4 linked regions of the Schizosaccharomyces pombe genome follow. The gene in region 1 interacts genetically with each later gene. Each region holds a gene or a part of one and is shown on either strand. Other genes may lie near its edges.

What was found.
Region 2: of cdc11 (region 1) and scw1, a mutation in one rescues a mutant of the other (synthetic rescue), as found in Schizosaccharomyces pombe (2 studies listed by BioGRID).
Region 3: of cdc11 (region 1) and sce3, extra expression of one rescues a mutant of the other (dosage rescue), as found in Schizosaccharomyces pombe (2 studies listed by BioGRID).
Region 4: mutations in cdc11 (region 1) and sid1 are lethal when combined (synthetic lethality), as found in Schizosaccharomyces pombe (2 studies listed by BioGRID, with this or other methods).

What each region holds. Positions count from the first base shown.
Region 1 is NC_003421.2:2,046,146-2,054,212, forward strand, and holds cdc11 (SIN component scaffold protein cdc11), read right to left. Parts: upstream 6,459-8,067; 5' UTR 6,408-6,458; coding exon 3,270-6,407; 3' UTR 2,985-3,269; downstream 1-2,984. Other genes in the region: cox13 (cytochrome c oxidase subunit VIa), read right to left, coding at 516-555, 640-699, 752-806, 855-904, 955-979, 1,028-1,190; protein mug33, read left to right, coding at 1,791-2,801; serine/threonine protein phosphatase PP6 catalytic subunit Ppe1, read left to right, coding at 7,473-8,067. UniProt on the Schizosaccharomyces pombe protein: Essential for the onset of septum formation. Involved in the organization of astral microtubules during mitosis. Acts as a bridge between sid4 and the other SIN proteins mediating their association with the spindle pole body (SPB).
Region 2 is NC_003421.2:670,316-676,808, forward strand, and holds scw1 (RNA-binding protein Scw1), read left to right. Parts: upstream 1-3,160; coding exon 3,161-4,846; 3' UTR 4,847-4,936; downstream 4,937-6,493. Other genes in the region: pus3 (tRNA pseudouridine synthase), read right to left, coding at 1-445; SPOM_SPCC16C4.21 (uncharacterized protein), read left to right, coding at 995-1,240; p21-activated protein kinase inhibitor Skb15, read right to left, coding at 5,450-5,753, 5,818-5,975, 6,045-6,435.
Region 3 is NC_003423.3:1,773,493-1,780,255, forward strand, and holds sce3 (translation initiation factor), read right to left. Parts: upstream 3,478-6,763; 5' UTR 3,406-3,477; coding exon 3,402-3,405; exon of another isoform or gene 3,365-3,401; coding exon 3,354-3,364; exon of another isoform or gene 3,313-3,353; coding exon 3,222-3,312; exon of another isoform or gene 3,058-3,221; coding exon 1,997-3,057; 3' UTR 1,677-1,996; downstream 1-1,676. Other genes in the region: tif307 (translation initiation factor eIF3g), read left to right, coding at 1-420; SPOM_SPBC18H10.05 (WD repeat-containing protein), read left to right, coding at 6,522-6,763.
Region 4 is NC_003424.3:1,982,022-1,992,447, reverse strand, and holds sid1 (PAK-like GC kinase Sid1), read right to left. Parts: upstream 6,751-10,426; 5' UTR 6,692-6,750; coding exon 6,575-6,691; intron 6,519-6,574; coding exon 5,220-6,518; 3' UTR 5,086-5,219; coding exon of another isoform or gene 4,977-5,085; 3' UTR 4,940-4,976; coding exon of another isoform or gene 1,473-4,939; 3' UTR 1,214-1,472; downstream 1-1,213. Other genes in the region: mitotic septin Spn4, read left to right, coding at 1-661; inp53 (inositol polyphosphate phosphatase), read left to right, coding at 1,473-4,939, 4,977-5,085; putative mitotic spindle organizing protein Mzt1, read left to right, coding at 6,904-7,098; SPOM_SPAC9G1.08C (phospholipase), read left to right, coding at 7,155-7,880; SPOM_SPAC9G1.07 (Schizosaccharomyces specific protein), read right to left, coding at 8,010-8,195, 8,241-9,266; cytokinesis protein Cyk3, read left to right, coding at 10,341-10,407. UniProt on the Schizosaccharomyces pombe protein: Has a role in the septation initiation network (SIN) required for cytokinesis.

The sequences.
Region 1 (8,067 bases):
ACTCATTATTATCTTGAGATTAATAATTCCTTATAATCTTAATGTTACATATATACTAATGCAAAATATAATTTTAAACAGTAAAAATAAAAAAGTCAAAAGGATAGAAACAGACTGTGAACTACTTGTAGCATATTAATGATTTGTATATATATTCGTTCTCTTTTTCGCATGCCAACTTTCAGTCTCATCACTTATTCATTTTGTTTACATAGTATGCAACTGTCTCCATATCCTCCTTCAACTACCTCATCTCTCTTTTCTGCTTTTTCAGAAATCAATGATTATTCACTGTACGTCGCTAAACAAATAACGAATCCAATGCTGAAAGTCACTATTGATAAGAAAACAGCTATTGGCAATACAAACCCGTATGGTCTCACTATTACCTTTTAGCATTGCTAAAAACACACTTTCCGTTATGCATCCCTCCAACACCTTATTCGTTCTTCTTTGCTTGCTACATGGTATGGGGGTTAATTGAGTCGTGCAAAAAGGCTTAAAGAACGCTATGCCTATTCATCATCCTTCTTTAAATGATTGACTTTATCATTCCTGTATATCATTAGTAAATTTCCTTGTCTCATACAAACATAATCTCTCCCTTCTTTCCTCTCTTCTCTCTCATTCTCATCTTACCAGAAAAGTGTCTTGCTACCGTCTCCCCATGGATACTTTTTGAAGCGCAAATTTTCAAAGCTAAACCATTCATTAGTCCCTTCCTTTCATTTCTTCTCTATCTTCTTCATACCTATAACCAGGGTCCGTATCTTCAACATGCTTGGCATGCTCTTGATGCTTGCAATCTATCTCTTGTTAGTCGTTGCAAATCTTCACATTACACTTTTACGTACAAATATAATACGCATTGGCACTAGCCAATATCAATGCTGGTCCACCAATGCTGGCAAATGTTAGCTACCACACAAATTCTTCACTTCCTCATGTTCATACTAATAAGTCACTTTCTTCCAGAATTCTATAAACCCGTTAGTAAGATAAATTTCTATTCCCACAATTCACATACCACTGCTACGCTTTGCATGCTCCTCTTCTGCTTGAACCTCTTCAAGCCAGTTCACCTTTGCTTCGTTACTATAAGCTCGAAAGCTGAGCAAACCCGCTCTCTTAGGAACGCTCGTCTTCAATGTTCTGGATAGGAAGCCAATGTTACGATTCATCATGCTCATTACACTAACAAATTCGCTTTTTTACGATGTTTTCAAGGAGATGGGAGTTGTTGCTTGTGAACATTCTGCTCCTCCCGTACCTTCGTAATTCTACCCATATACTGTAGTAACGCACCGTGTGCATTCTTCTACCTCGGTACAAATTTACCTTAGCAATGTTTAGCGTTCAGTTGCGTAGCGTACCGTACTACTGAAGTGTGGCGCAAAGGGGGAATGAAGTCAAACAACGTTTAACTCAACCACAACCAACAACAAAAACCTCATCATATCTCACCACCAAAAATCGCCTTTCCGCCAAATACATAAAAGCGACTTCAAGGACAAATTATTTCTTTTTTCCATATTAGGAATTGGTAATTTAAACACTTTTAGTCGAATTGAGAGCCTTTTCGTTCATTGCTACGTACCAAATTGCCCTTTCTCAACTTCTGCCTTCCCCTCGGATTTCATCTCTTTTTTGATCGTTTCTCGCTGTAGAGGAACAAAAAGGAAATCTTTAAATCCTAACCGTGCAAAGTTGAACTTTGTTGGTAGCTAGCAAAAGCTCAAAAACTACTCTCTCAAATCACCCTCCAAAGCTTTTCCGCTTTTTTTTAAAAAATGCGGATTCGTAGTGCTACTCCTTCCCTTATCTTACTGGTTATCGCCATTGTCTTTTTCGTCTTAGCTATATGTACTCCTCCTCTTGCAAACAATCTTACTTTAGGAAAGTATGGAGACGTTAGATTTGGCGTTTTCGGTTACTGCTTAAATTCAAATTGCAGCAAGCCTTTAGTTGGTTACAACTCGGATTACCTTGATGAACATGCAAAGGACGGATTTCGTACCTCCGTTATTGTGCGTCAAAGAGCTTCCTACGGCTTGGTGATTGTTCCCGTGTCTGCCTGCATCTGTCTCATATCCACCATTATGACTATATTCGCCCACATTGGTGCCATTGCCCGCTCTCCCGGCTTCTTCAATGTCATTGGAACCATAACATTCTTTAACATTTTTATCACCGCCATTGCTTTCGTTATCTGTGTCATCACTTTTGTCCCCCATATTCAATGGCCGTCATGGCTTGTGCTCGCCAATGTCGGCATTCAACTCATCGTCTTGCTTTTACTCCTTGTTGCACGCAGACAAGCCACAAGGTTACAGGCCAAGCATCTTCGTCGCGCCACCTCTGGCAGCTTGGGTTACAATCCGTACTCTTTGCAAAACAGCAGCAATATCTTTTCTACTTCTTCTCGCAAGGGAGACCTTCCCAAATTCAGCGATTATTCTGCCGAAAAGCCTATGTACGATACCATTTCCGAGGATGATGGTCTCAAGCGTGGAGGCTCTGTCTCAAAATTGAAGCCTACTTTTAGCAACGATAGTCGTTCTCTGTCTTCCTATGCCCCAACTGTTCGTGAGCCCGTTCCCGTTCCGAAATCTAACTCGGGCTTCCGCTTTCCGTTTATGCGCAATAAGCCTGCAGAACAGGCTCCTGAAAATCCGTTTAGAGATCCTGAAAATCCCTTTAAAGATCCCGCTTCAGCTCCAGCTCCAAATCCATGGTCGATTAATGATGTTCAAGCCAATAACGACAAGAAGCCCAGCAGATTTTCATGGGGCCGCTCGTAAATTATCGACCAATCGAGTTTTATCTATCATTTATCATCTCTACATGTTTTCTAATTTCACTTTCAAAGCATTTTTTAACCGTCCCCCCTTTACCTTTTTCCTTTATTTAGTTGATACTTATATGGTACATATGTGTGTGTTTAATGTCACTGTTTCTCAATAGAATTTATCTGTTTTAAGCTAGTTGAATGTAAGAAGAGTTGGAGGGGTTTTCTTTTATTTTTTATTCTTTCAATAGGGTTCTTTTTCTTTTTTTTTAATATATATATATTTTTAGACGACCTTCACGTTTCATTATGCTTATTCATTTTGTATGTGCCATCCAGAAATCGAATTATTATTTACACTATGGTAATGGCGAGTATTATGGTGTATTATGTATTGTGATTATTAACCTTTACACAACAGCGAAACAATCTTGCTATTTGAAAGGTAAAAATGTTTCAAGCTATATCTTCACAAGTCATACTAGTTGGATGATTTGGTGAATGCAGCGCGAGATGATTGTGAAACATCAGATCCATCCAACCATTCTAAGTGTGGACATGCCAATAAAATAGCTTCAGCATACATTTTTCTTCTTGTTCTCCATGCCTCAGACAAAGTGGAACTAAAGGCCAGCTCTTTCTCCTGCCATTGCTTTTGCGGGTCTTCTTTTCTATGATGACCTTTTTGGTTGATACTTTGTTGGTATTTTGAGGCTGCAGAGAGCTCATAAATAGAGTCGTCAATTACGGGATAAATGTTGAAATTAAGAGGATTCATGCGCAGATCCAGTACGTTTAACTGTTTCAGGTTTGCCAATATATCACATAAATTTCGCATCTTTTTGATTCTATTTCCCACTAAGTAAAGTCGGTGGATCATTTGCAATGGTTTCAGCGACTCTATGTCTGATATATAGTTATGTGATAAGTCCAATACACGTAAATTGGGCATACTGGTCGCAATGTATTTAGGTACTTCTTTGAGCTGAACGTTTGCAAGCTCCAGATACCTCACTCCCAGAAACATGTGCTTACAATCAAGAGTAACGAAGGTGTTATTCGATAGGTATAGATTTCGAATATCTAAAGAGGGTTGAATGACAAAATTGGAGGCTTCAGGATCTTGAGTCCTGAACGAAAAATTGACTAAGCGTTTTAGTCGACGGATGTCAGGGGGACGATTAAATCGATTAAGGTCCATGTATAAAGTTCGTAAATGAGGAAATTGATCTACCTCAAGTTGATGTATGGCGTTGTTGCTGATGCGTAAAATTCGCAAATGAATCATTGGTTGGCTAGCTTTCAAGTTGGTTAGTTTGTTATTGTCCAATTGTAAAACCATAAGGTTTTGAAGCGAACTTATTTCTTCGATTTCTTCTATTTCGTTATTTCCCAAGAGCAATTCCTCAAGACGATGAAGATTGGAATTCGTAAATGACAATTCTTTAATCCTGTTATTGCAAGCGCTTAATTTTAGCAATCCATCCAAATGTTGAATCCCATCTAAACTCCATAGATGATTACTGTCAACTTTCAACTCACGAAGGTGAATTAGAGAAGAAAGACCAGTAAGGTCCTCTAGTTGATTATATGATATGTCCAGATATTGTAGGTTTAATAGGTTGGAAAATGAAGTCAAACTTGACAATCGATTTTCAACAGCATTCAGGTCTCTTATCGTAACGGGGCATCCTGTTAAGTAAGCAATTTCATTTCCTTCCAACGTGAGCTCTTCAATAGAGGGACAGAGTTCAGAAAGTCCAATCAAGGAATCCAAATGTCGTCTACTGATGTCTAATTGTATAATCCTTTTCCAGAAAGGCTCATATGGTTCAACATCAGAAAGAATTTGAATTATGGATTGACGAGATACTGAAAAACTATATTCAGCATCTTTGTCGGCTTTACTTTTCAATCCAGAACCTGAAGAAATAAAAGGAATTGGTGACCCATTTTCATACCTGCCATTAAACATTTCATCAAAGCTCTCATTTTGTAAGGATAAATCGTGAAAGGAAGATAAAATTTGCGGAGCGTTTTCGCTATTGTCTCTTAATGAATGCTTAGGAAATTCGGATTGAGCAACATTTTGCTTACGCAAAGGAAAGGAATGAGGTTGTTGCTTCTCCAAATTGTTTGGATCATTGTTCGCTTGATGTCTGGTGGATGCCGCTTTAAACAGTATTGTACGCTCAGGATGCGAAAGACTAGCATCTTCGTCGGTTTCAAAATCAAAGCCCAAGTCTGAATCATGACCTTTTCTCCGCCACCGATTGTGTATCCTGTCAAATTCCATGGAGCCTTGAGTTGTATCTATGCCTTCAGGAAGATCTGCTGGCGTTATAACCACCATATTGGGATAATCAGACACTTTTCTTGAGCTTTGAGCAGAGTGACTTCTTCTGGTTTTAACACTGGAAGTTTTTAGCGTTGATTTGGGAGAGCTATTTAATCGGGCAGTCTTGGAAGAGGATTGTGAAGAGCCAACATCAATTTCCCGAAGTGGCATTTTATCGGTCATATATGCCTGGCGTTGAGGGGAGGAAGATGCGGATGGAAAGGAATCATCATTATCATTGAAAATTGAGGTAACCCTTTTCATACTTTGAAGACTTTTTAAATGAAGTTGATCACTTAAGGAGGGAAATGCATTAGAGCTATCTTCTTGACTTACTTCAACTGAAATTTCATCTTGTTCCTCCTCCTCACGAAGTCCGCTGAGCTTTCGAGGAAGAAAAATTGTAGATTCTCGTCCCGAATTAGGCATTCTTCCTCGCAATCTTGCCATGACTTCTTCAACCTCTTGATAGAGATCTTTGGTATTGAGGCTAGCCTTTCGTTCAGTTGTACGCATAGGTTTTTGTGGTCTTCGTGGTTCAGGGAGTGAAAATTGTTTTTCCCCATTTTCAAATGAATTGGACTTTACATCTTGAGTTAATTGATTCAAATGCTCACGAGTAAACGGATCACTAGCTCCTTGGAAAAGTTTAAGGGGGGATGTATTATTGGGCTTCAAGGAGGGAGAAGAAACAACGGATGAGGATGACGATGCATTGCTAGCATGGTCCGTATTTTGCTTTTCGTGAACCGAGTTAGACCTGGTATTAGATTGTTGACTTTTCAAGCTTCCTTCTGAGTATTTTTTGCTAAACTGAGAAGAGGAGATAGATTCTTTTTCGTAATCCTGTGAAACGAAAGGATCTTTAGAAGGAGAAGATTGCATGTTCGATACATTAGATAGTTTACCAACTGAAGAAGAACTACGCCTAGAAGAGTTATTACTGGACTTTTTGGACGGATTTTTTGTTGGAGACTTTGAAGGGGGGCTTTGTTTGCTGCTTTCTTCAAACATATTTTCCAAATCCAACCTTGCAAAAATATCACGAGCAACAGGGTTCTTTGCATTCACCTGTTTCCATTGAGGAACATCCGGAGCATCATTTCTTCCTTTCTTAAACGTTCCATGCTCTGTCGAAGTTCCTGAACTACCACGACCTGTAGATTGAGTATTGTTTACATTTGATGTGGTTGGTGGTTCACTAGAATTGTCTGACCCTTGTTCTTGTGGCTGCGGAATCCATTCTTCACTTAAATCATGTTCAAGCCATAACTGTTCCATGATTTCTGAAAAGCACACATACCTTCCATAGAAAAAAGAAGTTTTGTTTACGTCTATGAGACGCGACGGGATGTCGTGGTACTGGGACTCAATCACCCTTTTGCACAATTTGACATAGGATATTCAAGCGTATTCGTAATGCTGCTTATCATATTTTACGATATTTTCCACAATAAGGGTATAGCGTTATTTTGTTTGTTACGTTGAATTCCAGTAAATTTATTTATTCAGAAGGAAAATTATGGCCATAAGTATTTGAGGAAAAAATCAAAGCTATAAGTAGTTCTAAGAGTTGATAAACTTGTGCATGAGAGATTCACTTTATTCTGTTAACTCGGAAGACTCGATAAAAAACAATTAATAGCAATTGCTTCGGTAACCTTCTCTGTACGATTTTTCTTTTGCCTACGGTTTCGCATACTTGACGACGGAGATGCCATTTATATCAACAAGATATCATATATTCTTCATGACTTTGAAAGCTCTTTAGTAAGCAAGTTTTTCACAAGTTGGATCTACGCTTGCAACAATCTTCGAACTGATCCTAAATTCGCTTACTATATTTAAAGGTTATGGAAACGACACTTTTATTGTCGTTCTACAGACAACGTTTCTCGTTATGCTACTCTCTCATCTTCGCCTCATGACCTAGACTTTCAATCGTTTAAAACTCTACAAGTATTTATAATTTAAAGCAATCCCACCTCGGTAATTTAAGAAAATTTGCAACAAAATTTGACGTTAGCAATAAGGATAAAATGTGTTCGACGACATCCCAATTTAATCAGCGGACTATATAAATTTGTATATAAAAGGTCATTTCCACATGTAGACTTTTTCATACGACTTTTGAATGTACCAAACATCCATATCTGATAAAGACTTGGTACGCCGTTAATCGTTACAATACGTTAAACACCCCTCTTAAGTATTCAACGTACTAACTTACGTACTCTCCGCAAACAACATATTTAATTAGGAAGCCAATTTCTAAATAGGAAAGTATTGAGAAATAACTGTGTTTAATAATCTAGAAGAGATCCTTGAATAATTTGTGCTACAACGATGTTTGACTTGGATGAATGGATCGCTACAGTAAGGAAGTGTAAATATCTTCCAGAACACCAGTTGAAACGATTGTGTGAGATGGTAAAAGTTATTTTAATGGAGGAGTCCAATATCCAGCCTGTGCGGACTCCCGTTACTGTTTGTGGTGATATACATGGTCAGTTTTACGACCTTTTGGAACTGTTTCGAGTAGGTGGAGAATTGCCAAGCACAAATTATATATTTATGGGTGATTTTGTGGATCGAGGTTATTTTAGCTTAGAAACTTTTACGTTATTTATGCTTTTGAAAGCAAGGTACCCAGATAAAATTACATTGCTTCGTGGTAATCACGAAAGTCGCCAGATCACTCAAGTCTACGGGTTTTATGATGAGTGTCAAACCAAATATGGAAATGCAAATGTTTGGAAATATTGTTGCCAAGTTTTTGATTTTTTGACTTTGGCAGCGGTTATCGATAACAAAATTTTATGCGTGCATGGTGGATTATCTCCGGAAGTTCGCACATTGGATCAGATTCGTATTCTTGCGCGTGCTCAAGAAATTCCCCATGAAGGCTCATTTTGCGATTTGATGTGGTCTGATCCAGAGG
Region 2 (6,493 bases), 1.4 Mb from region 1:
ACACAGTGTGTGGAGAAAACGAATTAAACGTCCTCGCCATTTTCCATACACGAATACAAGGTGGTAAAATATCGTTGACCAAATTCACCACATGAGGTAGAGGTTGATTGTCCAACACTTTCAAACCAAGAACATTAACAATGGCATGTACACCCTTGTCTGTTCTAGCAGCAGAACACATTCGGATCTTCTTGGGAGAGTCAGCATTCACCTGAACAACGGCGCCTACTCGAGCGAATGCTTGGAACAGTGTATCTTGTATGGTTTTGACATTGGCATTGTACTGCAAACCAGCAAAGCCAGTACCACGATAGCTGACAACACAGTAGACCATTCGTTTCCGGGGTTTCACCGAAATCGAAGAAAAGAAAACCCGATGTCGTTGGAGCAAGCAAAGCACAGATTGGTTGGCAGAGAACCTTGAAGGTCTTAAGAGACTATGCATAGTTTGAAAGATGAAATTAACTAAGCAAGTTTTTAATGAAAGAGAGGAAAGGTACTACAGATGGCATGTGCTCAAGCAAAAGTTAGGATATTAAAAAAATATTAAACTAAGGGTAGAAGCACTTCAACTGTTTTTCATGAACAATATAGAATATTACTATAATTTTTTGGAAAGAGCCCTAGCTTCCATGAATAGTCTTACCCACAATACCCTGTTGTTTATCTATTTTCTTTTACTAAACCAAGCTGTACATACTAGATACCACAAAGAAATACCTTGTATCTCCTTTCTACCCCTTTGAATGGACAATGAAGCCGAAAATTTGCCGTTTTTAGAAGGTCCTTTTTTTTCAACTTTTATCGAAAATTAATTTTTTTTCAGTCGTTTCAAAGGTCAACCTACAAAACTAATTCTTTTCGTTAGCAACCGCTTTCTTATCAATCTTTGCTTCTTTATTTACTGTTCTCTGCTAAATTTTCGTTGATTTATTTAAAATACCTTCTAAACCATACTTTTTCTTACTACCCGGGTTTTGACAAATTTTTTTCTATGCAGCTCTATCCGGCAAATGTTAAGGGATTGAGATATAGTGAATGTTGCATCTTAACCGCTAACCCATCGGTTCAACATTTTGTCATGCATGATGATGCTGGTGTTCCTCTAACGTACAGCGTTTCCACACTGCACGCCGAACTTACCGACCACCTATACCTCCCAACCACCAGGAAAACAGTCGCAGTAGGCAAGAAAACGCTTTTTGTAGTGCAAAAAAAAAGATTTAAGCCGGAAACATAGCAGAATAGCAGAAATTTGATATTTACTGTTATCATCTCCATTATTATTTGGATTAGTTTTCGATTGTCCTTTCATTCATCTAATAACGCTTGTTTTTCTTTTTTCTTTTTTGCATTCTCAGTCTTGGTTGTTTTGCTATTTATTGCGTTCCTCGGTTTCTCCCTATTAAATATTTTCTTTTCATTGTTTTTACGGAAATTCTCATTTTTTCATCTTAGGGGCTCGTTGACTCAGCCTGCACGACAAGGAAAATTATATCCGTTTCGGAAGCACAACGTGTGTGTTGAAAGTCTTACTTTTCTTTTTTATTTTTCTGTACCCTTTCATTGAACTTTAGCCATTTGTTGCTTTGTTGAATTTTGGCCATAAATAGTTTTTCAACTGGGTTTTTATTCGACCTCCTTTCATTATTCATTTCATTTTCATATCTATCCATTTCTATCCCCACTAAACAATTTTGTGTTTTTAGGATTTCCCTATTCTCAATCCATAAAATAGTCACGATTCGTTTTCATTCAGATACCCGGCTCCTTATTTTTTTTTTTTTCGAAATTTTATTCACTCGTTTGATTTCGTTGATTCATTTCTTCCGCCTTTTACTCATTACTTAAGGGTATTTGCTTATTAAACGTTTGGTCTTTTTTTTTGCCCATCTTTTTGTTCATACAAAGTTTTGTGACATTTATATAATATTTAGTCTCTTCGTTTTTGTGTGGGTTACCTTTTTTGTTTTATTCTTTTTCTTTTTTTTTTCTCTTTCTTCCCTCTTTGTTTTTTCTTCTGACCCTATTTTATGCCTTATTATTATTTTGATCAAGTTTCAATCATTTTTTCACAAAGATTTCATATTCACTTTACTTCTTAGTTTTTTTCTTTTTATTTGAAATTTCTTGGAATCTTTTTGCCTTTTTTCTTTTAACTTGATCTCTCTTATTTAACGTTACTTAGAAAAGCTTCTTTTATTTTGCTTTTCCTTTCATTCTTCGCTCCTTTATAAACCGTGTTCATACTTCTTTTGCTTACGTTTTGCCAATCTTCCCAGCAATTTTACTTCTATCTTGATTGTTCTTGTTGTTGGATATTTACTCTTTGTTGATAGCGGTATATTTTATTTGCTTCTCACTTTTTGCCCGATTGCTTTCCTTTGATTTACCTCTCCAAAAAAAAACAAGTGTCTTTTGTTTACTTGTTTGTATATTTGTTTATACTCTGCTGATTGAAAAGTTGATTGTTTATTTTATTTTTCCATCTGCAACCATTTCTTTTTTTTTGAAAAAAAAAAAATCGCTAACTGATTTTTTTAAGCATTTCGAATACCTTCGAAGTCTTTTTATCGATACTTTTGACGATTTCTTCCTCATAAGCCTTGCCCTAGACTTTTTGTTAGCTCGGTATTTTTGCATATTTCAGTCATCTTTTTTTCATTTTCAGTTTGTGTTTTTTGCTTCACAGTTGTATCTGTCTCTCTTTTAGCAACTAGAATTATTTGTGGTGGTCAACAGTTTACCCTTTGCTCTCGTTTTCTTGAAGTTACAGTCTTTCTTTTATTATCTTCGTCCAGTATTCTAGGTTGTTGCCCTTCTAATTCTTTCGCGTCAAGTATTTGGATTTTTCTAATACTTGCTAACAATTTTTACTGAATTTTTTATTTTTCTTCATTGCCCTTGCTTATTTTTATTACTTACACACTTTCTTTTTAGTCGACCAACTAGGTTTCTAACTTTTTACTCCACTTATTAACTATTTCGTGTTATTAAGCTTGAAGCCTCATTTATTATCGTTTGGGGTTTATTTAACAACTACTGCTATTTCATTTGTGTTTTACTTTTAGGCATCTATTGCTTATTTTGGTTACTTTATCAACCACTTTGTCATTCTTTTTTCTCTTCTTTTCAATTACCATTATATATAATTTGCAAAATGTTTGTGGGATCACCGAGCGCTATTGAAAAGCCTTTATCGTTATCCAGTAAGACCAAAGTCGGGGACGAAACCGAGTTTACTGAAGATGCGCTACGTGGTTCATCGTTGGTTCCAACCGGTATTCTGAATGGAGATGATGAATGTCATGCTCTTCACATGTCTCCTCAGGCTATTCACAGCCAAGCTGGGAAAGCTGAATCTGACGGTTTACCTACTTATGCATCTGTGGAAAAATCCACAACTCCGATTGGTAGACTCCTCTCTAACCTCAACGGTGGATTAGCCTCTGCTCCTCCTAAGGTTGGATTCGGTTTTCCTAGATATTATGCTTTGCGGATTGAGGATTTACCTAGGGACTTAACACCCAGAGAGTTTTTATGTACCTTTTTATTCGCTACGAATGTAGTATCCGTCGAGCTTAATCCTGTATCCGTGGATAATGAAGTTGCTCATGGATTGGCGGTGTTTTCATCCCGAGATGCTGCTGCATCTGCTAGAGACACTTTGCTATCTAGCGATGTTTATTCCGCGTGCAGCATGATAATTTTAGACAATTATCGAAAGGGAAGTCAAACAAATCTTAGCGACGAAACTGAGGGCTCTGAGAGTAGTGTTTCATTTAACAGACTGTCTCGAAACCATTCTCCAACTCGTCCACTGTTAGGAAATCGTGATCTTTTCCGCAGGTCAAGTAATCATGTGTCAGCCAGTATGCCTACTGCAAATCATTCGGAATCTGCTTATCGTCATTCAAAAACACCTTTGGGTGATAGCACTTTTCAGGCTCCTAACAATGGAGGTAGTTTGCATTCCGATAGGTTGTGGTCTTCTTTCCCTGTTTCTTATCCTTTAACACTCGCGAATGTGTTAGCCAAGGATGAAGTTGGTTCACCTACGTGGTCACCCACTCCTTCCAAAAGTAGTACCAATTTGCGTCAAGACGGTGTTCCTCCGATTTTGCGATTTAACTCATTATCTATTAACACCAACGTGGCGCGCAATTACCTTTCATCTGAAAAGGGTTATAGCGCTCATACCCAAAATTCTAGTGCTCAATCACCCCATCCTCGTGTCTTTTCGGCAAACAGTGCATTCAGTACAACAAGCCCTCCTCCCTTGACACCATCAACATCAAGAGACTACCCATTTTCAGCTTCTACCATTTCACCTTCCACACCATTTTCGGCTTATTCCTCCAGTCATGGAATTCATCAACGCATCCCTGCTTCTACCCCCACGAATACCAACCCTGCTGATCAAAATCCTCCTTGTAACACCATTTATGTTGGAAATCTTCCTCCTTCTACTTCCGAGGAAGAGTTGAAAGTTTTGTTTTCCACTCAAGTTGGATACAAAAGACTTTGTTTCCGCACTAAAGGCAATGGCCCCATGTGTTTTGTTGAATTTGAAAACATTCCATACGCCATGGAAGCCTTGAAGAATTTACAAGGTGTTTGTCTTAGCAGTAGCATTAAAGGTGGTATTCGTTTGAGTTTTTCGAAGAACCCATTGGGAGTGCGCTCATCAAGTTCATCGCATAACAACCATAATGGAAACGTTCGTAACCTTCACTCTGGTTCCATGAATAATTACAATACAGACTCTTTGCTTAATCATACTGGTGGACATAACGAAGTCCACGCCAGTCCCAGTTGGGGTAATAATCTAATGTATGGCAAATAGCTCATCTAGCATTTTCTCGTCTTCATTTTATCATTATTCATCAATACCTTGCAAGGACTTTAGGTCCAAATTTTTTAAGCATATTGTTTCTCTTTTTTTTTTTTTGAGTTTTGCATATTGATTCTTTGTTAATCAAAAGTTGCGATCTATTCCACTTTGACTGCATGCAACTTTAACCATCTGTTAAGCTTAATTACAATTTGTCGATTTATGCGATCTGTTTTATTTCACTCTTATATAAGATGGGTACTTGCATTGTTTAGTTGTCATTAGGATTTATCATTTGCTCATCATTTCCATATACTTCTGCTACACATATCAATTTACATAATAATATCGACTTTTGCTTCTAAATGAACCCATCTTAAATTGCTAAACAAGTACTGTAACAACTTGGTTAGATGTATTTTTATTGTAACACCCAACTTAAGCTTACATACAAGAATTTTTAGGATACATTGATAAGCAAACACTTAATCCTTTTATAAATATTAGTATAGTCTAGGTGAATAAAATATTTCCAACAAAAACTGTATAATAGTAATCCCGTCCTTTCCCTATTAAGTTGAAATTGATTTACTTTTTTTAAAATTGCGAGGAACTTTAGGCATGCTTCGTCCTTTTCACAGGCGGCTGTTTTGAAGTGCTGTAATATTCTGACTCCGATTCTGACTCTGAAGAAGTTTCAGAAGTTTCCGAATCCAAACTTTGACGTTTCGCAGCTTCATCTTCGACATTTTTGGGTTCTGAATTGCTATCGGCCAACATAGCTACCATACAGGTAATTCGATTGCCTTCTGGAATGTTATGCTCAATTACTAAGTTCCAATCTTTATCCCATATACATACTGAACCATCCGAGCTTGCAGTAATTAAATAATCATCAACAGGGTAGACAGATTTGACGCTAACTTGATTAGAAAATTTTGAATTTTTAATTTGTTGAGTATAGAATATAAAAAGACACTTACCGTTTCTTATGCGCCGTAAATTCATGTAAAATCTTCCCATCAGAAGTATCCAAAACCAGTACTGTTCCATTATCTCGTCCAACTATCAATTTGGATTGATAGAGACACAAAGCGTTCAATTGAGATTTAGAAGAGAAGCTGAAAAGGGAAGTGAGATCCTAAAAATGTATTAGTAATTTATAAAAGAAGGAGGAAAATTGCATATAGAAAAATGCATAAATTCTTACCAATTTAAAGGCATCAATGCCTCTTCGTGACATAATAACAAATGACGACTCATTCAGGAAAAGAATAGATTCTGGGATAGTGCTTAAAGGTAAAACTTTACCTCCTTTACCTCGTACAAGGTCCCAGAGCCGCAACTTTCCATCACCTCCAACTGTTAGGGCCAATTTTTCTGAAGGGTGAACTGCTATACCAGTGATGCCCTTATGAGAAGATGACTTAAGAGTATGAACCAACAACCATGAACCTTTAGACCACATACTGATTTGCCCGTTATCATGACATGCTAAAAGGTGATTTTTAGTAAAACACATATCTCGGATACATGCATTGGCGATATCTGTAGGAACAGAAACATCGGCTATTTGGACGTTACGAGTGTGATCGAAAATTCTGAAACGATGTTAGATTATGCTTAAAAGGATAATTAAATACAAGGAAGGAAGAATGA
Region 3 (6,763 bases), on another chromosome or scaffold:
CCTTACAAGAGCATTATTGGACCTGTTGATGAGCCTCCCTTGGATGCTAGTCCTGTTTCTTCAAGGGCTAGTGGTGCCTTGGGCGAAAAGGGTCGTTATATAGCTCCTCATCTTCGTGCTGGCTCAGGGCGTGAGAGTGGTGATTCTATGTTCAAACGTGAACGTGATGATAGTGCCACTCTTCGTGTCACTAACTTATCTGATGATACCCGTGAAGAGGAACTTCGTGATTTGTTCCGTCGCTTTGGTGGTATTCAACGTGTATATTTGGCAAAGGATAAGGAAACTGGTCGTGCTAAAGGTTTTGCCTTTGTCAGTTATTACGATAGAGATTGTGCTATCAAGGCTCGTGATCGCTTGGATGGTTACGGTTGGAACAATTTGATTTTACGATGTGAATTCTCCAAGCCTCGAGATTAAGTTTCTTTTAATTATATAAAAATTTCTTGAAATTGGATAAAGGTCTACGTATATAAAAAATTTTCTTTTTTCTTCCATAAATCGTTCCCTTATTTTCACCCATGTATTCAGTCTAATCCCTCGGATTGTCTTAACCACCTTACCCGTTTCTGAGAGCTTTCATATGTTATACTTTTTAATGCTTGACATTGTTCAGGCTCTATTATCCCTAATTGCATTGGGTTTGGTAGAATGCTAAAATTTCCTTTTTTGGGGTTGTATCTGCGTAGTGATCGTCCCATGGTATGTCTCATAAATCTATGCTAAATTGGAAAGGATCCTTACGTTTTGTTCCTCTGCTTTTGCTATTTAAAAGAATAAAATTAGGTTTCATTTACTTATCGTTTGTTTTCTTTTCCTCTTTATACTTTTTATATTTGAAATGGTTGCCTCTGAAAAATTTTTGAAATAACTTTTAGTATTTTGTAGCAATATCATGAATGGTTTAAAGCTGTACACTTGCCTTGATGATTGGTCTTTTGGTACCTTTTTTTTCAGATTGTGAAACAAATTTTTACGCGCGAAATTAGATTGCTGGTGTACTTGACGAGTTAAGAAAAAATAAGGGTTTTTAAACTGACTAATTTTAACTATTTTAGAAAATTTTTTTGTACTCCATTGTTATAACTGCTCCAAAACCATTTGTTATTTTTTCAGCATGTAGTGCTACATGGAGAGTGTAAGGATTCGCAAAATCCATTAATGTTGTAATTTGAAGCAACTTTCTCGTTTGTGTCTTCATTAATTACACCAAGGCTTTCTAGGTTAAGCTGAAAGAAAAGCTAATTTTTTCAACTGACTACTTAAGCAGTTTTGACTTTACCAATTCGACTTTCATTATTACAACTTATGCTGTACATTCTTTTTTTTAATATCTATAATATTAAATATTTATGAGATCAAGCGAAGGCCCCTTAACTCAGTTGGTAGAGTGTGAGATTCCAAATCTCAAAGTCAAGTGTTCAAGTCACTTAGGGGTCATATTTTTTATAAGTTTTTATCCTGTGTTCAAAGGCATAGCAAGTTTTAAGAACACATTTGTCATAAAGATTTAACAATATAACTCTCATATCCGTTGAAATAGCTGGTTCACTTCATACGATAGTATTGACTTTTAATGACCATTAATCTTTGCTAAGACGGCAAAGTAATATATACTACTATTAATTACATGACAAAAAACAAACATACATCGACATATAAGTGCAAAACAAATTTTACTATAAATTTAACCTAAAACGACCAAGGCACCATTATAAGAATAAAATCAACGAAAAGTATGCTTAGTCAACCCGCTTTTTTCTATATGCAATTGAAACAGATGCAAAGCCGATGGGCGGAACCAGAAAATATCAAAACAGAAACAAACAAGAGATCTTAAAATATAAGTTAGCAGCTAATCTCTCGATTTAATGGAAAAGTGTATGTGTTTATTTATACCTGTTTTATTATATAGAGAACCCCAAAACAACGATATTAACATTACTTCCATATTTATGTCAAAGCGAAATAACATAAAATTGACATTTTTTAAGGTTTAGTGTTTACGGCCTTTGCCAATCTTCGTCCAACCCTCTTCTTCTTCTGCTTCGCCAGCGTTTGTGGCAGGAGCATCCTCAGTGGCAGGAGTCTTAGTCGCAGCGACCTCCGAATCAGTTTCGGAACTCTTTTTCTCACCGTCTCCTAAACGGATATCTGATACTTTCTCAGCAATAGCATCTGTTTTATCGGTCTTTTCAGCCTTATCAGCGGAAGGCTTTCTAGAAGTAGAACGCTCACGGTTAGCATTGTCCTCGCGACGGAAGCTCTGAGTACGCTTGGCAAGTTTTTCCTCAACACGTTGAAGCACGGATGTATTGTCTACGGGCTTGGCACCACCGAAAGGATCTCTTTTAGGCTTGGAAGATGTAGTAGTGGTAGCAGAGGGAGTAGCTTCGGTGTTGACGTTGGAGGAGGAACGAGGTTTTAAGTTAAGACGAGGGCGCTCAGAGGATTCACGTGGAGGAAGGGGTCCACGACGAACCCATTCACGTGGCTCTTCACGAACACGATCGGAAGGATCACGAGCAGGATCACGGAAACGACCACTGTTGGTACGTCTCTTGCCAAACGGAGATTCAGCAGGTTCAGCAGGAGGAAGAGGTCCACGACGAACCCAGTCACCAGTAGAGCGTTCTTCACGGGCAAATGAACGACGAGGCTCTGCAACAGTGATGCGGACTGGACGTCCCATCAAATCCTCACCGGATAAGGCTAAAGCGGCGCTCAAGGTATCAGCGGTCTCAAATTCAACATATCCAAAGCCACGAGAGCGTTCAGTGAGAGGGTCAATGACGAGGCGAATGCTAGTGACACCTTCGCCGAAAAAGTCGCCCAAATCGTTTTCTGTTAAGTCAAAACTCAAGTTTCCAACATGAGCTGTAAAAGGGGGTTCAGAAGGGATGGGAATGGCATCACGTTGGTAACCACTTCCCATTCCACCCTCGCGACGGCTTTCGGGAGGACTTCTAACTGACTCAAACGTGGAAGAAGGAGCATTGTATCCGGCGTCAGCAGAGCTAGGAGTAGCACGATACGTAGATGTGGTGCGGTCTTGGGCTAATAGATAAATTGAGTTAGCTAAGCAATTTCAAAAGATTAAATAGAAAAATGATGGAGCCCAAAAATGAGAGCCGAAAATTAATAGAAATTTTCGGATTCCTAAAAAACACCCCACTCCAATTCAATCCAAAATTTTCCATTATAAAAAACAAAATACTTACGCAAAGCTGGCAAATCATCAATATCATCAGCCCAGTTAGTCGAACCAAACGACTCGTCACCCAAAAAGGCGTTCAAACTCATTTTCGTACTCTGATATCGTTCAGCAAACATGCCTAATTACCTAAACAAACCTTTTTCGGACCTATTATTAATAACTCATGATCAAAAACACAACTTGCCCATTATGAAATATTTTCTTTTAGATCTTCACTTTTTACTAACAAGATCGTTTTCTTCGTCGTTCTCGACAGATTTAATATTTGCGATTCTTGGCGCGCTGGTCCACAAGAGCGTAGCCCAGTGATGCCGTGACTGCTCAATAGTAGAACGACTGAAGCATTCCCGCCTGCTGTATTTGCTAAGGCGAGAAAAAGGGAGAATTGGGAGACGTCTCTATTCCTCACAGTCATGGATAATGAGGATTAAATCATTTCGGTAAATCAAGCATGGAGGAATTTTTGTGAATGTGAGCATTATAATCGCATAACGATAAGTAGCGTGTTGAGCAAAGAGGATTGGATGGAAGTAGTTTTTTTATTGTAAATAAATCAATGGAAAATTGGATATGGAACCATTGTAGCGTTTGCAATTTGATGGAAAGTCTTTTTTTTGGGATTATATACTTGTGATAGGAGAAAATGATTTTCCTTTTTTTTTTTTGAAAGAAGTCCGTATTTGATGTCAGCTTTCACAAATCTAATAATTCCTATAAAATAATAGTTTAAAAAAAAGTTCTTGAAGTTCAATCAGAAAACAGAGATTTGATTTTGCGATAAACCAAAAGCAAAGATTAAAATTGGCTTTACGATTTGTTCAACCATGGTTTGACATTGAAGTAAATCGCTATTGAAAAAACGTATCATTGATAAATGATAAATGATTTATTATTGAGCTCGATCAACAAAAAACGAGAACGTTATAGTCTCAAGGGATGAATGATGATCAGTTTTGTACACCATTGAATTTGTTTTTGAGAGTAATAAACTTAAACTTCTCAGCGAACTGGACTGTTTGGACAGTGTTTAGACTTCATTTTTTGCAGATTCCTTTTCTAATATGGAATTATAACAAAACAAAAACACATTGGCTTAATTATAGGGGAAAGGAAAAGGAAAAGGACGCGTGCTTGCACAGAAATGAATCGATGTTTTGGATACAAACGTAAACAAGACAATAAGGTGGTGAAGCAAAATTGCAAGGAATTTTTCTAATCTAAATACGGCGATTTTGAAATTCATTTCTATTCAGCTTATCATCCTTTTTTCATTCACTGACACAGTATTATCTTTTAACGTTGTATGACGAGATGCATTAGTCTATGCTTAACAAGTTGTGTAATATGAGAGACAAGACAAGAAGAATTGGGAATTCCAGAATATGTGCAATTGATAATATCTACACGATTTTTAAAAGATATATCAAGTTACGAAAGTTGATCCATTGTTGGTACATTTTAAGTTCCCGCATTAGAGTTAAAGGGCCGCCGCTTCTGCCAATGTTTATCATCAAAGGCTGGTTGGGATAGTAAGAGAAAATGAGGATGATACAGTTTTCAATTGATATTCGGATGTTTATTATTTTATTATTATTTTTTTAGACAATTGTCTTTGATCTATATTCAATGTGAGCTGAGAGCTGAGTGGAGAACGAAAAATTTCTGAAACAATAAAAAATCCATTAAAATATATTAAAATCATAATAATGTTAGAAAAAAAAAATCGAAAAAATTAATCAAAGGGTTTCATTGACTTGGAGCAAAGATAAAGGAAGAATTTGAAAAGAAAGTAAAATCTAATAAAAGAAACGTGTGAATTTGAAATTAAAATGGAATGGTCTTTCTTTTTTTCTTGGTGGGACGCAGTCATTTATTTAATTACCGACCAGCCCTTTTTAACAATTAGATAACAAAGAAAACCGATTTATTTCATTTTATATTTTTTATGTCACTTGTTTTTTTGTTCAAATTCACTCTTCTTATGATTTCTTTCTTCTCAAGGATTCTTTATGTTCATTTTCTTTTATTTACAAAGAAGCATCCGCATAAAGAGGTATTGTTTACAACAAACAAATGGTTGCCATCCAGGTTGCGAACCAATCTAAAAATTTCATTCAATTCCTTTATGCCATTTCTAAATTCAATTATATATTTTAAAAAGGAATTTATAATTTAAAAGATTCTATAAAAATCGTGGCTTTGAAGGATTTCCCAACATGCTGGTTTCATTAGCCCTACACCCCCAAAATGTCATATTGACGAAGATCGAATCCTTTATTTCTAATTTTTTTTCTAACCGCAGATAATGATGAAAAAAAGAAGAAAGTAACATTTATAATAGTCTTCTTTTAGTTATAATCAGATTTTCTGCTTCGATTTTATTAATTAATGGAAGTAAATTCAAAAAAATGGATTTATCTTACTATCGAGGGATTGTTCCCTAAAATGCGTTTCCCGCTACTGGCCAGTCGTTGTTACCTTCTTACTACGACTATGGGATTCTGAGTATATATAATTATGACATGAATTAAACAACGGAAATTTAACCATTTACACTGCTATTGCTTTTTTTACTTAAATTGTGTGTTTATAACAGGAATTGAAACACAAATTTTGTTCTCTTGGTGCAGTCTGCGTTTTAAATTTCTTTAGCGGCAAAAGCAAACAGTAGAGAGAGATTTTAATTCCAATTCAATTTGAGCAACAGCCACGCCTTTTCTGCTCAAAATTATTTTTTTGTTAAAAATTTTCTTTTTCTTTTTCTTTTTTATCCTTTATCTATTGATTTTCATCTTTGGTTTTACGAGTGGTATTTGCTGGTTCAAATTTTAAGTGCATATACCGATTGATTGATTGATTTGTTGATTATAGCTTCACTCCATTCTTCGTTGCATCCTTTTTAAGTTTCTTTTTTATTTCACAAAAAGTCTATGCCGAAGTTCTGCTCGTGTTTGGTATTTCATCTACAGCGTTTGTGTATAGCATTTCCCAAGCATTCGACTTTCTGCGAATAATTTCAAAATTTAATTATCTCCATTTTTTTTCCTATCCACCTTTAATCTCCCTTTTTACTCGAATTTCTTTTCTATCTTGCTCAATAAAAAAATATTCCCTCATCATTGATATTATTCGATTGCCCAATCTACTTTGCGTTTTTATATCCCTCCTATTTCGTTCTTCCCTATTCTTTAATTTCCTAATTCCGCTTTGTTTGCATTTTCAAGACCTCCCTATTTGAATTAATTTGGGTATTGTTTGGAAACTTTCATATAAAATAATACCTTAAAAAGAAGTTGCATTGGAGATGCGCGTTTTGGTTGCTGAGACCGGAAGAGAAGATAATGTGTCAGTACATTCTAGAGAAGTGTCTGTGAACGGCAGTGATTCTGGTACAGGCAATGATGCCTACAAACTAGAAACAGACGATGAACATCCGCCTGCCACCCCTGTACGTGGATTATCCACAAGATCTCAAAAAAGACCCTTCAGACCTTTAACAATTCAACAAGATGAAGATGTAGAAAACGACACTGGTATGAACACCGA
Region 4 (10,426 bases), on another chromosome or scaffold:
ACATATTTCTAAGCGTGTCAATTTAATTCCTGTCATAGCTAAAGCCGATATGTATACTCGAAGGGATTTAGCTCTGTATAAAACTAGAATTTCTCAAGTTTTAGAATACCATCAAGTCAATGTTTATAAACCTAATATGGATGAGGGCGATCCCGTTTTTCACAGACAAATTCAAGGAATCATTAATTGCATGCCATTCGCGATTGTTGGAAGCGAAGATGACATCCGTACTCCTGATGGTAGGGTCGTTAAGGGTAGAGAATACCCATGGGGAATTGTTGAAATTGAGAACGAAGAACACTGCGACTTTAAACAGCTTAGGAATATTTTAATTCGGAGTTGTATGCTTGATTTGATTCAAACTACTGAAGAAAAGTTGTATGAGCAATATCGACAAGAGCAGATGAAAGTTCGCCAGTATGGAGAACCTAAACTGCGGACTATTGATAATGCGAAATTTAAGGAAGAAGAAGAAAATTTGAGAAAAAGATTTACAGAACAAGTGCGCGTAGAAGAAACTCGATTTCGACAATGGGAACAACGCTTGATTGCCGAACGCGACTCATTAAATAAAGATTTGGAAGCTCAGCATGTTCAAATAAAACAAATTGAACTTGAAATCGAACGACTAAAGGCGGCTACCAGCTCTCGCAAACGTTAGAGATAATGTTAAAATATAACGAAACTTGATACCCAATTATCATTTGGGTTTGTTTGCTAGTGAACCATACTATCATCTTTTATGGTCCTTCATTTCTAATACATAATGTCAAACGTCTATCTTGCCTCCCGTATAAATTACATTCTTTAGACAATCAATTAACTATATGATTTTATTTTATTTTTTCTATGCCTTTATACACTCTTTTATTGTGGTTTTATTCAACGTATAGTACATATGCTTTCATAAGTTGCTCAATTTTTATATAATTTTGATATCGAATAAATTTTCTGTATCTTATAAAATTTCTTGCATAAGTACTTAAAATTTCTCGTTTTGTGTCTTTCTGAAATAAAATTGTGCAATGTGTGTTTATAGTCAATGCTTAATAATATGTTACAAATATTTAGCTACATGACAATATGATCTTTCATTGCCTTGAGAATGGCTTTCAAAATTGTTTCTATAAATGTGAAGTAAACTATTTAGTTAAGCAATACAAATGCCTAAAAAATATTTGATAGTTTTTTGGAATTCCTAATTTGTATTATGCGAATTTCTACATCATCTTCCCTTTTGTTTTCTGTAAAAATGATTATTTGGAGTATTGTTGATGCGTGTGTTTGAGTGCACGAGGCTTTGTTTATTTCATAATAGGTCAGCCCACGCAGTGTCTTGGTTGTCTTTTTCCAACAATTAGCTGAAAAGCGCAAAAGGTCCAAACAGCACCTAATAGATTTTAGAAGTATTTAAAAAAGGTGATTTATTTAAAAAATTGATTTAAAGCATAAGATTGTCGTAATCATGGAACATGGCCTCTCGCCAAGGCTTCAGCAATGTGAATGAAGATGAACCCGAGTTGCCCCCTTCGGTTTTATCATTGAAATCAAAGTTCGAGTCATTGAGTACCGGTGACCTAACTAATTTGGACGAAAAAACTGCTAAAAGAAGAACTGTAAAAGGTTGTAAAAATGGCACTTCTGAGCCAAACGTTTTTAAAGCAAGACCTATTCCACCGCCGAGGCAAGTCTCATCGACTATAGGAAGTTCGACTGGACGAAAAGTTAGTGGTTCAATTCAAAGGCTAGCTTCTAATTTTAAAAATCCTTCAAACCCCCACGCTGATGTTTCAAAAATAGATCGTCTACCTAGTGATTCTTCTGAATCTCACGTAGCTACTCCATCTTCTCCTACTATATCTAATTCATTTGTTTCTGTTTCTCCATTACTTAAGCGACCTCAACAAAAAGGGCCTGAAATTTCTTTTCAATCATCTGTACAATCTACCAAAGGAAATGATCTAATGAAACACGATGATACCAATAATCATCAAATACCACCCCCTAAACCCAATTTTTCTTCGAAAGCAGGTTCTTCAAGCCCGATATCTGTATCTCCATTAAAAAATGTTAAGGCATATATTTCTCAGTCTCCAACTCACTCCGAAGCCTCTTCGGTTCTGTCTTCTGAAGAAGAAGAAGAAAACGTTATCAATTCTAGTAAAAGTGTGCCCTCCTTTGATTTGCATGATCCATTTAGCCAGACCTTTGGAAAGGAGTGTCCCATATCGACGGCGCCTCCTGTTTTGAACATTGGAGACAGGTCTTTGGAAACTCCTCCTCCAATTCCCTCTCCAAGACCTCCACAGCCAGTTGCTGTTGAGGCTATACAGCAATCGCGTGCGGTAATATCTCAACAATTACCGCTTCATGTATCTCCCCGAAAGCCCCCAAAACCACCGCTGCGTAAAGTTTCTACCCAGCGCTCTTCTTCCCCAATAGAGAATTTGGCTACTAAAAGTGACGCCAGTCTTGTTACTGGTTTACAGTCGTCTCCCTACACTCATATTGCTCCTGCATCAGAGATGTCTTTAATACCTGAGAAACCCAGATTACCTCCCCGTCCTAGTCACACTTTATCAGAACTGTCTAGTCCAGCTTTAACATCTGAAAACTTATCTTCTAAACCATCCCCTTTGTTTCCTCCACCACCACCGAGGGTGAAATCCTTAGCTACTAACAAACCTGTCTCTATGCCTGTTTCTACTGAGCAAAGTGATCCTTCTGTTGCTGCTAGTTCCTCTTCGTCATCGCAATTAGATGTTGTTTTAAAAGGAAGCATACCAGATACTTCTAGCGTTAGGAGGAACCCGCCCTGTTTTGTTAACGGTGTTGAATCAATTAACGTAGATTTTGAAGCTAGAATCTTTGATGTTAGTGGTGATCGCCTTGTTTTAGCTGGAAACGGAGGACTTCGTGTTTATGACACCGTTACTGGTCTTTGTCATTGGCATATGCCTCTAGGGGATACGAAGGTAACGTCCTTATCATTTAAATCATCCCCGGAGAATTACTCTGACGATGGCAGATTTGTTTGGTTTGGAACGAGAGATGGGATGTTATGGGAAGTCGATGTTCAAAATCATCATATCGTTACTAAGAAGTCTGTTTCCAATTGTCCTATTACTTACGTTATGGTCTATAAAAATGAAATGTGGACGTTGGACGATATGGGAAAACTGTATGTATGGCAGGAAGATGAAATTATGGGTTTAAGTATACAGTCTACTCCACATAGTATTCGCACCATTCCTCATGCCACTCATGCTATGGTTTTAGATAATCGGCTTTTATGGGTTGTTGTTGGGAAATCAATTTATGTATATGATCCTTCAACTTCAGAAAATGAGTCGGCAAGTGTTTTGGCGAAGCCCATGACTCCACCTGGTTTGATAGGTGATATCTCTTGTGGCACTACTATTTCAAACTTTACGGATTTGGTCTTCTATGGTCACGTTGATGGAAAAATATCCATCTTTTCGAAAACCCAATACCGTTTTTTGGAGCTAATTACTAGCAGTTCATTCTATAGAATTTGTTCACTAGTTGGTGTTGGAAATACACTTTGGGCAGCCTACACGACAGGCATGATTTACGTATTTGATGTTTCTGAGAGTCCTTGGCGCCTCTTAAAAAGTTGGCATGGTCATAAAGCAAGTCACAATGGAGCTACCACTATACTTGGTATTGATGTGAATAGCGTATGGAAAGCTAAAAGGCTCCAAGTTGTTAGTATGGCTTCTTCAGTTGTCAAGTTTTGGGATGGTTTAATGATGGGTGACTGGTTAGCTACCGAAATGCGAAGCCGCTTCCCAGAATATAGTAATTTTACTGACGTGTCTATACTTATTTGTTCCTGGAATGCCGGAGCTTCAAAGCCATCTGATCTAGATAGTGATACTATTGGAGCTAGTATGATTCCAATGATGATTCGAGACAATGGATACCCAGATATAGTTGTGTTTGGTTTTCAAGAGCTAGTTGATTTGGAGAATAAAAGACTCACAGCTAGAAGCATCCTTTCAAAGTCGAGCTCCAAAGGTGGTTCGTCTAACAGTGCTAATATTTCCAGTCAGTATCGTTTATGGCGTGAAAAATTAGAATCTGAAATGATGCGGGTAAGCTCAAACGATGATTATCAGGTTTTGGTATGTGAAAATTTGGTTGGTCTTTTCTCATGTGTTTTTGTAAAAAATAAGTTACAAAGCAAAATTCGGATGTTACAATCGACAACTGTAAAAACGGGACTAGGTGGTTTGCATGGTAACAAAGGTGCAATAGTCGTTCGCTTTCTGGTAGATGATACTTCATATTGCATAGTAAACTGTCATTTGGCTGCTGGTCAATCCAATAAAGCAGCCAGAAATAATGATTTGGCAACAATTTTAGACAATGCTTCTCTTTTTCCTGAAAATGATGAAACTGATCAATTGAATACATTCGTTGGTGGTGGCGATGGCTCTTTAATTATGGATCACGAAGTTTGTGTTTTGCATGGTGATTTAAATTATAGAATCAACACATTGAGACCTAAAGCTTTAGATTTAATTAAAAAAAACGACATAAAAACTTTGCTCCAAAGCGATCAGCTTCTTGTTGAGCGAAAAAGAAATGCCGGATTTCGTCTGAGAACATTTACTGAACCAGAAATCACGTTTGCCCCAACTTACAAGTACGACGTTCATAGTGAGCAGTACGACAGTAGTGAAAAAAAGCGTGTGCCTGCCTGGTGTGATCGTATCTGTTATCGTGGAAGTCCCGACTACATCTCTGCAGAAAACTATACCAGGTACGAACTGAAGGCATCAGATCACCGACCAGTATCTGCTTTAATACATTCCAAAGCGAAGATGGTAAATGCGCAATCTCAGGGGTCCACATGGGACGTGGTCAAACGAAAGTGGATTGAGTATGCTGATGAATTTAAGAGAAAGGCTAAGTATGTTTTTTTTTGGAGAATTTTGCTAACCAACCAGAATAACCTATGTCATGAATTATACTTCTGTGTCTTATCAAACGGCTGAACAATATTTGTCTGGAAATAACTGGAATGTACAAAATGCTTTAAAGCAAGTGTCAAGTTGATTTCGAATAGTTCTCGTTTGGATGTGTTTATATATATTATGTAGATTAAATTATAGTAGAATATGCCATTATAAGTTCATTTAAATACAAAATTGTGAATGCTGTAAACAGGTTGTTTACGAGTTTTTAGTAAGCTATCCATTTAGACTTCTTCTTTTCTCAGTTTCTTCAAGCCACCGTGAAAATAGTAGTTGTGATATGGGGCTCCGCTTTTGCTTTTTGTGATGCAGTCTGTTGTCTGGAGTAATTTGGTTAACAAATTTTGAGGACAGATTTTTATCTAAAGAAATGAAAGATGTATAAAAAGATTCTAAAGATGAGCGCTGCGTTGCTGACAATTTATCATTTAATAACATCGATCGTATGGTGGACTTAATATAATGTTTCATAGCAAAATCGGAAGTCAACGATTTATGATAAGAGCTACCTTTTTCAGACAATGACTTGGAAAAAGGATGCGGTGTCGCTTGATCACTCATTATAGTTTTCTCTAAATATTTTATTGATGAAGGCAATTCCTCTTTATTTTGTGAACTGATGATGGAATTTTTAGGAATGCTAGTATTCCCTAACACAGTTGAGTCAGATTTCTTTACAGTTTCAAATGTCCAATCCTCAATGTCAGCATTTCCTTCAGCAATTGGTTCTTCAAAGGGCTTTAAAGTATTATTTATGGTTTCTTCCAATACACTTTGATCCGAATCATCAAATAATTTATTCTCCTTCTGAACAAGCAAAGGAATAATGTCTTTCACAGTTCCTGCGCTTTTGATGAATGGGTGTTGAAGGAGTTCTTTAGCTGACCATCGCATATTAGGATTGAGATCTAAGCAGCAGGACACAAAATCACGGAATGTTGGACTGAAATGATCATCTAGCTTTGGAGGCTCGGATTGAGGAATTTCAAAGATGACACGCATTGGATGCATTGTAGCGCGGGGCGGAATTCCGTTAGCCATTTCAATAGCCGTAATTCCAAGAGACCAAATGTCAGCAGCTAAACCATAACTTGTTTGTTGTATTACTTCCGGTGCCATCCAAAATGGCGTTCCAACAAACGTGTGTCTACGCGAAGCAGCGTTCGAAAGTTGAGCGGCAACTCCAAAGTCAGCAAGCTTTACGTTTCCGGTAGAGGAAGATAGTAGTATATTGGCGGCTTTGATATCTCTGTGGATTTTGTTTTGTCCATGAAGATAATTTAGCCCATAAAGGACCTCTCGAAGAATGATTGAAATTACTTGTTCATTCAACCTTCCCATTTTCAAAAGTCCCGAAACTGATCCTCCATCCATATGCTCCATCAAAATCCATAATGTGTATCCGTCAACAAAACAACCGTAATACTGAATTACATTGGAACTGTTGCAATTCGATAACATAAATACCTCTTGTTCGATGTCGGTAATGTCGTCAATACCTGTTTCTAAATCAATCTGCAACTGTAAGTTTTTTGTGATACTAAAGAAGAGTAAAAATTAATTAGTCTTACCTGTTTAATAGCGATAATGTCGCCAGACACATTTTCACGTGCTTTCCAGACAACCCCAAATGAACCTGATCCTAATTTCCGTAGCAGAGTATAAGAATTAGCATTGAGAGGATACATTTCATCAATATTTTGACTGCTCAAATCTGAGGTTGAGCCTACTTTCGGTTTCGTTTTACAAGCACAAGCTAGATGCACCACGAAGTACTTTGTTTATTACTTAGAGGATTATAATGAGCTACTCCGAGACGCCTATTCCAGTAAACTTAACATTACCAACTTGTTACGAAGTATATATAATTAGACTAGTTTATTATAAAGTATCGAGTTTTATGTCTGAATCTACCAAAGAGACAATAGAAGTTTTATACGAAATAGGAACATTGCTTGGAACTGAACTTGATAAAACAACGCTTTCACTCTGCATCAGTCTTTGTGAAAACAACGTACACCCAGAAGCAATAGCTCAAATAATTCGGGAAATACGTATGGCTCAGGAACAAACTGTTGACACAGAACCAAGTTAATGGCAAGAAGTTTAATCTCAATAGTTGACCTCGGGGTTTAGTATTTCTTTTATCTAATGTCTTCTTTAAACAGTGTTCTACCTTCAAATGCATGCGCAGAGATTATTGAAGGGAAAGACAAGGTTCACAATGTAGTTATTTTAATGCATGGACTTGGAGATTCTCACAAGAGTTTTGCAAATATGGCAAAGAACGTTCCGTTGCCCAACACTAGTTATATTTCCTTACGTGGACCATATCGATTACCATTAGATTTTGAAAATCCTGGAGGCAATTGGATGTGGGGAGAGGATGTCCATTTTGATCAAAACGGGGAACTGCAATCTGAAGCCGATTTCTCTAAAAGTTTTACGATGATTTCAAATTTAATTGGCAATCTACTCTCTTACGGTATATTATCTTCTAGAATATTTTTTTTCGGGTTTGGTCAAGGAGCTATGGTTGCTTTATATAGTTGTTATAAATTGTCTACTAAATACCAGCTTGGAGGGATATTTTCCTTTGGAGGTACTCTACCGCTATCCATAACTTTGCCCAATCATCCATTTCATGTTCCAGTGTATTTGTTTGAAAAGCGATTGCATTGTTCATGCAGCGAATATGAAGAATCGCGATTACGTAAAACATTTAAACCATTTCACCTCACATGTTGGAATCGTGATGATAAAACTGACATGCCTTCATCCCCTAGAGAATGGTATACATTCGTTCAATCTATTAGTAAACATTTGTATATTCACAACACGTTGTTTGAAGATGCAATTCCTCTTACATCTTTTTAGAATTGATTTATTTAAGTTAACATTTGTTCACAATAAAGTTAATATTCATTTGGGCATAGATATAACAATAACTCCTCTAGCCATTATGTGATTAAAATTAGTACGTTTACCTTTTGATCATTAAGATTTTCAATCGACAAGATAACTAAGATCCGGAAGCTTATCAACAATTCTATTAATTAGTTGATTTTGGTCAACTGTTTTTATATTTCCACGCCCTGCTCTCTCATTATTAAGAAACGAAGTATTGATCGATTGAATAACAGCCGGAGTGTCTTTAGGAGCTGACAATGAAGTAGAAGGTGAACTAAAATTCTGAAAAATTAGAGTATTTGGCTCAACTTGAGACTCTTCACTTACATCATCAACGGAAGCAGAAGCTAAATTCGATGAGTTTTTCGAGGTATCTTGGGAACTGACCCATGAACCCCATTCAAAATTATCAGAGGTTGGATCCGGGGAAAGAGACGTTGATGAATTTTTTTTCTTCGTTTCTCTAATTTTTTCTTCAGAGTCAAGTTTAGCGATTGATGAATGTTCTTCGACTTCATCAACTTTTTTACGATCCAAACTTAGTGGTGATTTTGGAACAACTTCATCCTCTTTATTTATTGAAATTGTAGAACAACTGTTGCTTTCCCTCTCAATCAATTTGACTGGGGAAGAAAGGAAAGTATTTGCAGATAATTTGTGATCCTGTTTAACAGCAACTGTATTATTTAAAAGAGCCGTAGAAGAAGAATAATCCTTGGGAATTTCATTCGATGATAAATTAGAAAAATCAAGTATATCTGAAGGAACATTTATACTGGAAATCTTGGTCGTAGAAAAATTAGATAAAGGAGACTGTTCCGGTAACAAAATATTTTTGTCATTGATGGGCGGTGTGACAGGTGAATTGGTATAGCTTGCTGTTTTCCTTTTCTGCTTCTGATAAGCTGTTGACCAACAAAAAAGCACATTGCTTTTTCGATTTACATTAGACCGTTCTTGGTTCCATAAAGTCATATGTTCTTTAAGTAAACGACTAATGGTTCCTTGTTTTAGTTCTCCTAAACTTTTCTCATTGTATCCTAAGCGGATTAATTGTCTAAAATTGGTTTCCGAGGTAGCTGTAATACCTATATAATCTTTGGATGCCAATGAAATCCGTTTAGGAGGCTTGACAACGCCAAATGTGTAATCCAACTTTTCATTAATATCTTTCAAATTAAATGTGTCAAGATTGAGAGCATTTTCTTTCCAGACTGATGCCTCCATTGAAAAACTGACATCGTTAGTAATTGAGGGAATTGCTGAATTCGAGTTGGATATATTTTCACTACCCCATGCATTATGAGGATTAGAGGCGTTCGAAAAACTAACAGAGTTCAGCAAATCATCCATATAAATCACATTCCAGTTCTTTAAGTTGTAGATTCTCAATTTAATAATATATGAGTGGATAAAAAAAACGTAGGTGCCATCAACTTCGGGTTAAAAAGAAAACAAAAAGAGCCTTAACTATACTTCTTTTATAAAAGGAACCTTTTTAGAGTATTAGTATAAATGCTCAAGATGAGTTGAAAGCGGTTCGGCTAGGGTAAGCGACTTAAGCCACCACATCGTGTGCAACGCAAGTAGGCAACTTAAATCCGTTCAACGTATTTAGTGTGAAATTAAAAATAAAATAAACTCAATTAAATTTCCGGAAGAAGAATAAATTTTATAAGTAATCATTTTAAAATAGGACAGAGTTTTTTAACAAATTTTAAGCTAGTAAACAATTAATCTAATACTCTGGCGAAAGTTGCTAGCTTTATTAAAGAGGAATCTCATATGGACTGAAGCATCGTGCAAATTTTTGAAAATTACATTTGGTAAATTAAAACCTAGATTATTTCATCTAAATAATATGGCTTAAAGTGCGCATAAATATGGATGCTGGTTTCAAATCATTTGAATATTATGTCTTGTGCAAAAAGCTCTTTAAAAAAATTACAGAAGTGCAAATGTACCACATATTTCAAGTTAAAATGAACCCTTCTAGGACTTCTAACAATTTTAGTAAATTTTCTCACTAAATCAATTATAATCTACATGAAATGAATCTAACATCGCACTCTTTATCGTTAAAGAATGTTTCATGGTAGCCAAATATCTTTCTTTTTTTAATTTTCCTAAAATGAAATTCTAGTATGGTTGAATTTATTACCGATCTGCATTTTATCGAGTATTATTGAAAATATTTCCATTTTTTAATTGTGCGCTAAGTATATAAGTCGCGTTATTAGAAAAATTATGATGTACTCGGTTAATTGAGCTCTAAAAAAAAAACAAAGTTATTAGTGTACTTCGCTTAAATAAGAATCTTATCTTCACATTCATACACAACTCACATCACGTTACGGAACTTCCGCTCCGCTCGTTTTTTATATTAACTACCAAAGACTATAATTTCATTCCTTTAAGCCTTCAGGAATGTCCATTCCTAAACAACTACCATGCATGGTACGTGCTCTGTATGCATGGCCAGGTGAACGTGAAGGTTCGTAACATTTAAAGAT